Linked DNA regions of Caenorhabditis elegans. The gene in region 2 interacts genetically with the main gene of each other region. Each region holds a gene or a part of one and is shown on either strand. Other genes may lie near its edges. The genes, in order: cam-1 and lin-3.

Region 1 (3,934 bases), on a different chromosome or scaffold from region 2:
ATTTAGTTAAAAGTTGTGGAAACAAATCTTGCGCACTTAAAGAATAGTTCTCCAAATGGCAAAATATGGAGGTTTGTTAAAAACCGTAAGATTGTTTAAAACTATCTCCAGGATTTTAGTACACTAAACCTAGAAACCAAAATAAAAATTCAAGATAAATTCAGCTAATTCAAGTTTAGGAATATTTCATTTCCGGGGAGGAGAAGTGCGGATTGACTGAACGATATTTAGGATTAAGCAGACTAAATCAAGCTAGTATTAAAATGCCTATTATAGATTAGTAATAAGACCTTAATATTGGAATCAAACTGTTTTCTAATCACTAAAAACCGTTCAAAAATGATTCGAAAGTTATAAATTAATTAGAAAAAGAAACTAATAAATAGTGATAAATTAACTTCTTTTTTACGATGTGTCATCATTACAAGGCCAATAAATTATAAATCGAGTAGTCCATCCGTCGGATGAATGTGCGGAGCGCGTTTGGCGGGGAGGGCCCATTCGACAGAATCCCCGAGAAATAGTATACTGATTCAATGAGACGCAGAGACACAGGGGATGACTGACAGTAGGAAAGAAGGCAGAGGTCAGTCCGTTTTGTCAGATATTAGGGAAAGAGAGAGAGAGAGGAGATGGTCACGGTTAGGGTGGGGGTGGTCCGTTGTATGGGTGAAAGAGGAGGAAGACGTCCGGGTGTTGGTGGATGTATATAGGTGTCAAGTGGATTATGCAATATGTAGAACAGAAGAGGTGGGAGAATGGTCATCCATTATATGGGCATGTCACTCCGTTTGTTTGAGGGAAATGAGCTTGTGTCAGTTAACCCAATTTCCGCATCCGGAATGACATTTTGATGCTCTATAGTGGTACAAAATATGGATGAAAAAATAATAATTGAAATTTCCAAAAGAATGGGTGCTAACGGAAAATTTTGGATCGTGATGTTATATCTAATTACCAAAATTCATCAAAAATGTGAGATATCGGCATTTGGCACCAAAATATTACACAACTTTTCTCTTAAAAATACAAAACTGGCGAAAAAATTTGTAACACTTGACTGAGACCATATCCAAGTATTGCTCGAAAAATGGAAAAAATTGAGCGAGTTTCAGCTTCTGCCCACGTTTTGCCTAAAAGCACTATATAAAGTTTGTCAATTTTTTTAACAAGTTAAAATAACTTAGGCAAAAATCGAGCCAAAAATTATTTTCATAACGATTTGATTTTTGATATTGACAAAGTATTAGCTACTTAAAATTCACAAAAATTTGAAATAAATCACTTTCGAAGTTGACCCCTTTAGCAATTAATTTAACTCAAAATCTAATAAAAATTGCGCTAAAACTAATCGCAAGTTGCAAACTTGTCAAAAAGATGAAAAATGGGAAGTCGACACGACGGAAGTTTTCAAGATTTTGAATGAAGATAATAAGTTGGGTGGAGGGAGAATTGCAGAAAAATTTCCCATTGAACATTATTTTTATAATCAAGATTCTAACGGTGAAGATCACATACTGCATAATACTCATCGGGCGAGCTTGATGAATGTGGGAACGGATGGCGGTAACCATATGGTTTTATTCAGAAATCAAGAAGTAATTGGGTTTATTTTAAATACATTTTTTGAAAATCTATATGAACTGATCTATATGAACATATATGAAAATCTATATGAACTGATTAAATGCTTTTAAAGTTTATATTTTATACGCCAAGAGGTGGACGCGCATTTTAGAGGTCGTTAAAAATTTTTGTAGTCAGCAAACTGTACATCTATAGACTCACTAGATTTAAGCATTTTGTGTTTTTGAGGCAATCTAATAAACTACTTGTATTTGACCCATATTCATTTAATCTGATAGTAAATAACCGAACCGTTTGTTGCCAAAATAGGCAGCTACAGTTTCTACCACCCGTATCTAATTACTATAATTATCGTATCAAAAGACAGTAATACTCACGATGCATTTCCGTAGTGAAGACCCTCATCGTCGGCTGGTTCTATCACGAGATCGTCGTCTTCTGGTCGGGGAGACATTTCTGGAATATTCAAGATTTAGGGTATAAAAATTAAAAAATGGAACGAGATGGTAATATACAGAGTTCAAAAATTTATTCGAATCGAGAATTTCAGCACCAGTAACATAAAAAAAGGTAATTCAAATATTACTTTAAAAAAACAGAAATTCATAAAGTTCAGTGAAGCAAAAGTTGAATTGAAGTATAAAGCTTAAGCCGGCTAAAAAAAAAGTTGAGAAATGGCAGGTGAGATTTCAGAAATCGCAGAATTTATCATGAGAATTTGAGAGGAAATTTAAGAAAAAGTATAGAATTTCAGTTTTCTTAAGTCATGAATTCGACAACTTTTCTCTCTTCTAATTCTGAATTCATTTCCAGAAGAGACGCAGGTCTTTTTCATTAGATGACAACTTTCAGGACCACCAATGAAACTTTTTTTCTCAAATCGAAATGAATTGAGGATGAAGTACAAAAAGAGACGGGAAAAAAGTCATTTTCATATTAGTAGTACACATTTTGATGCGCTTTTCCACTCATTTTGCATGTAAAATAAATGTGATGGATGACTGAGAAATGAGCAGGAGCACGAAGAGTTGTGAAGCAATGAGTTAGAAGAAAGAGTTGGTGATGAAAAATGGAAGAAAATTGAATGAAAAAGAGATTTAGAGAAGAAAAGATGAGCATTCTTTCATGCAATTTTAGTAATACACGGGTTTTCACACCTGTCTAATAAGGCTTATAAAGCAATTTGGAAAATAATTGAGTTTCCTGACACAGCTGGATATACACTAGATTGTCACTTATTTTAAAAGTAAGAAAGTGGAATTATGACGAAAGTTTGTCAAAAATTTAGGTGTTTCACCCATCAAAAAACTCAACTGTAAAATTTTTAAAATGGTGTTCTTAAAATGTTTAATTGCATGATTTTATTTCCAAATATTTTTTCTAATATTTCACTTTGTCATTTTAATACTAGAAACCAAATCCCAATTTATACTTGAAAATCAAGGTCCAAAACAAACTCCGGAAATAACGTGAGAAAACCAAATGATATGCTTCCTGTTGATGTTCTGAATGGAATTTCAAACGGGAATTCTGGGAGAGTCCCATTCGAAGAAGAACAGCTAAATTTCAGAGAAAACATTTATATATTGCACAAAATATGAGATCATGGATCTTCTAATTAAATTATTGAAAAATTGTCACATGTCCAGAAAGTCCAATGAACGTTCGTAAATTCATGGGCAGGTTTCCAAACCTTTCGACTATGTGAACAAATATTTTCAGGTCGATTAAAAAACTTTCAGAACGTGTAAATGATTACAATAATTTTATTAGAAATGATACGGTAGATATAAACAAATTGGCCAAAATGTATGTTCCTAAAACATGTGTGATCTGCAGTAGATATTTCGAAACCTTCAGCATGAGCTAATTTTGTATATGTTTCTCAAAATCCTAGATACACTGGAGCATTCATCCCTGAGAGCGTAAATCGGATAAAAAGAGAAACGCAAAATGATTATTATAGAATTTGAAAGTAAGTGCATGCTCCTGCTCGTGCTGCTTCAGAATTGTGTTCACCGAATGTAGAAGAGAGAAATTTCAAGAAGCGGGTCCTTGAGTGTGAAAATTTGTTTATGCTGCTGTTGGAAGCAGAGAAGAGGATTAGGCGTTGAGCACAAGGAGCTATGAGAGAAATAGACGATTATAATCAAAATGGACAACAAGTAGCCGTAGGAGAAGAAAATTGGAAATTGAGTTGAGTTGGTACGGAATTCTGTTGGTGGGAATTGTTTTTGAATAGGCATGCTGGAAATGTTGTAGTACTAAAAATATTCCCAAAAAACTAAAGTTTAGTCGCATTTCAATCACTCAGAAGCTTCTATGCTAAATAAAAATCTATGTGTGT
Region 2 (3,934 bases):
GGGAGCACTACGTTCTTGACGAAACCACGAAGGGAGACACGATTCTGAAACTTTTATTGATATTTGAATGGAAAATAATAATCTTTGTTTTGATATTATAGACATACCAAATGCGACTAGAAGTCGTTCAGGAATCGATTTACCGAACATTTAAATTTTTCGTATTCAAGAAAATATGTATAATTTTCTTAATATTACTTTTCCAAAAATGCCTGAGACATTGGTAAGAACACCTGTGTGTACAGTTTTCAGGGTCACAAGAAAAAACCAGCATAAAATACACAGGTGCATTGAATAGGGAGAGACGGGAAGTTCTAGAATTTTGAAAGTACAGAAGCTCAAGGATCCACGGAAAGAAACTTGAAGAATAAAAAAAGTACGATTTTATTTCTTTGTTTCTAGACTACTGTAGATTGGTTGTTAGTCTTTTTTTGAATTTGTATTGTGATTATTGTTCTCGACATCTACATTTTTTTGTCAATTTATCAAATTGCCTGATTTCTTTAAAAATCTACAATAATTAATGACAAACCATTCAAGGGACCATTTAAATTCGAATATGTAATAACTGGTATGTACATAGTTGGTGGTAAACTCGTAGATTGCTGCCAATATAGGTGAAATAAATACCGATGGTAGTATTGTCAAGGGTGTTTATGAGGGGGTGCATACAACATTTTGGCGGTGTTGGCGGGTACTTGAATATTTACGATCACCTACTGTGCATTGCTGTATGACCTCTTCAATTTGCAACCGGGTAAACGGAAATTATCACAAAATACGGCTATTCGCCAGACGCAAAATTTTGCAATTTTCGCCCCAAAAATACGGTCCGTGGTCTCGACACGACAATATTTATTTAATGTAAATAGATGAGCGCCTTTGAAGAGTACTGTAATTACAAAATTTCGTTGCTGCGGAAATTTAATCAATTTTTTAAAGTTTTTCTTACGATTTGTTAAAATTGGTGTGCTTTTATAGTTGTTTTTGAATAAACAGACAATTTTTTATCGGAAACCAGTTTTAAAAATTCGGCAAAAACGGGAGTTTGAAATTACAGTACTCTTTAAAGGCGCACATGCATTTAATAAAAACTTTTCGTGTCGAGACCCAGTACCGTATTTTTAGAGCAAAAATCGAGAAAATGCCTGAACAGGGCTGTAGATTTTTCGTGTATTTGGTGGAAAATTTATTTTTCGATTTTTTGGAAAAAAAATTAAGCGAAAAATGCTGATATACTGAAAAATTATAAATGTTTAAATTTTACAACTTTCCAAAGAATCACACTGGAAATTGTGAACATAAATAGTGCGATTTCGGTCAAAATATCGTTTCAAACTAAATTTTTCATTTTCGTTTTCGAAAAAAAATTCCCTGCTCCTGAACCAATCTTTTCTCATAGTCGTTTGTGGCGATTTTTATTCCATATGACAATGTTTAGTGCACTAGACAAAAAATGTGTAGAACACGAACACACATGTGGTTGTAGTGTCAAATATCATTCGATCCGTTCAATATGTTTTAAGAGGTGTGACGTTCAATTCCAAGTAGAACATCATTTTTTTTAAATGAAAAATTACCTGTAAATTGAGGCATAAAGAGTAGAAGGATGCAAAAAAGTAGCATTTTCCGCATTTTGGAAACTTGTGGGCGACGATATCTGAAATAATTTTTTTTTTTGGATAATTGTTGAGAAATTTAATTGAAATACCTTATGAAACAGGAAAAATTGATGCATAAGGGGTGGGAAGAACACCGACAAGCCGACGATCCGTTATTCTGAAAATTAAAATTTAAAAAAATTGGGAATTTTTTAAATTTTTAAAGAGAAACATAAGGAAATATTGTGCAAAGAATGCGAAATTTTTTTACGGTACCCGGTCTCGAACCGGCCGATTTTCTTGAATTCCAAAGAGCGTGTACCTTTAAGGAGTACTGTAGTTACCAACTCCTTATTGTTGAATTTCTTCAAAAAAAATTGATGGTTTTAATGAAAGAAACAGGTAAAAATTGTGAAAAATCTGATAAAAATATCCCAACAATACAGGGTTGGTAACTACAGTACTCCTTAAAGGTGCACGCTCTTTGGAATTCAAGAAAATTGATTCCGGCTACCGTAATTCTTTCTTTCAAAAAATATCCCAAAAATATATAAATTTATAAAACTCAGAGACTCTGATGGCCATGATGATTCACATGAACTTTCTGGCTACCGCACTAACTGTATTTCTTAACTGATATTAATATCACAGTTTTATACAAGGAATGTTAGCTGAGAGCAAAAAATAACAAAGAAACATCAGAGAAAACAGAGAAAATCGTACAGTCTAGTAGTAGATCAGCTAACTGTTAGAGAAAGATCGGGAGAAGTGGGAAGCTAACTGTTGATCGGAAGAGTAATTATTGCGAAACAAAAAAGTTATGAAAAGAAATCGAAAAGAGGTTAGCTTTGACCCTGGGAAAATCAGTGGCTTCTTGGTGGTACTTTTCAGTGGCATGAGTCAGTCAACGATGGGCGGTTCGAGAAGAGAGCAAATAGAGAAGATGCGCAGTGATCTATTTTGATGGTGAAAAAATAACTACAACATATTTTAAATTTAATCTTTTCTATTATTATGGGGATTCAGAAAGACAGTCATTTTAGAATCGACGTTGAAACGCTCCGCCCACAACCCATGGGTCTCGCTAGGTATTTGGTGGAAAATCCGTAAATTCAAGCGTTTTCAATTAGTTTTGCCAATTTTTGTTATTTTTTATGTTGTTTTTGATTATTTATAAGCCGAAATAATTTTTTGAAAATTCGTGTAATGTTGAAAAGTGAATAAGTTTTAAAAAAATTTGTTTATGAACTTTATTTCATTAATTTCCAAATGAAAATCAATACAAAGAAAGTAAAATAAATTTTTAAAAATTGACAAAATCGGTAAAAGTAATTTAAAAACTCTGAATTTACGGGTTTTCCGCTAAATACCTAACGAGACCCATGATTCGTGGGCGGTGCTAATTGGCCGTGGGGAACGATTCCACGTATATTTTAAAATTGGGAATTTTGTTTGTTCCTATAATATTTTCGGAATCTTCCAGGTTACTGTAACACTGAACAAACAAGAAAATGTCGAACATGGATCTGATGGAAGTATGGATACGGATGAGTTGAGATAAATTATAAAATATGTTAATCAATGTCCACTTTGCAAACAATTCCTCAATTTCGAGAGATAAATGTTCTTGTGTTAGCAACAATTTTCAGAATCTAGGGAATTCCAATATAAAAAAACAACTCGATGAGCAATCACTGTTTGCATTTTGCCTATTTATCAGGAATGAAAACGAGACTATTTGGGAAAACTGGAGGAAACATTAAAGTGTATCAGAAATACGGCGTATTCCTTTTTCACATGAAATCGGATCTTTTCAACTTTGACACTACTTCTGGTTCTTCCTATTCCAGTTTTCAGAAGATTCTAAGACTTTATGAGTCAGCCAGTCAGCAAGTTTGTAGAGAAGCGAGGAGACAAATAGAAACAGTAAGAGCACATTGGCTCAGAAATTGGAAACAATAGGAGAAACAGGAGGAAATGGTAGCGGGAAAAAGAGAAGCACTGCGCAATTGAGAAGGTCGGAAAAAAGAAGGAAGAACAAACAAATAGTCGGGAGAGGAAGTAAGGTGAAAAAGAAGATCGACCTTCGTGAAATACGTGGGATATCAGAGGATATGTCTAAGATTCAGAACTGTAAAGATCTATAATTCGAGAAAATGAGGGTTTCTCATTTGATTATTTACAGTTGAGTTTCTGGGTTTTTGTTTGATTATCACCTTTATTGCATAATTGGTCGCTAATCTTTTGATTTGTCGCTTTTTTTTTGCAATTTTTGGGCACGTTCACGAAATTTAAAATTTTAGCAACATTTAGTTTTTATTTTCGAAACTCGA

What was found.
Region 1: of lin-3 (region 2) and cam-1, changing one suppresses a phenotype caused by changing the other (phenotypic suppression), as found in Caenorhabditis elegans (one study listed by BioGRID).

Annotation. Positions count from the first base shown.
Region 1 is NC_003280.10:9,308,261-9,312,194, forward strand, and holds the start of cam-1 (Tyrosine-protein kinase receptor cam-1), read right to left. Parts: upstream 2,045-3,934; 5' UTR 2,042-2,044; coding exon 1,965-2,041; intron 1-1,964.
Region 2 is NC_003282.8:11,055,515-11,059,448, reverse strand, and holds the start of lin-3 (Protein lin-3), read right to left. Parts: upstream 1,636-3,934; coding exon 1,581-1,635; intron 151-1,580; coding exon of another isoform or gene 108-150; intron 51-107; coding exon of another isoform or gene 45-50; coding exon 1-44.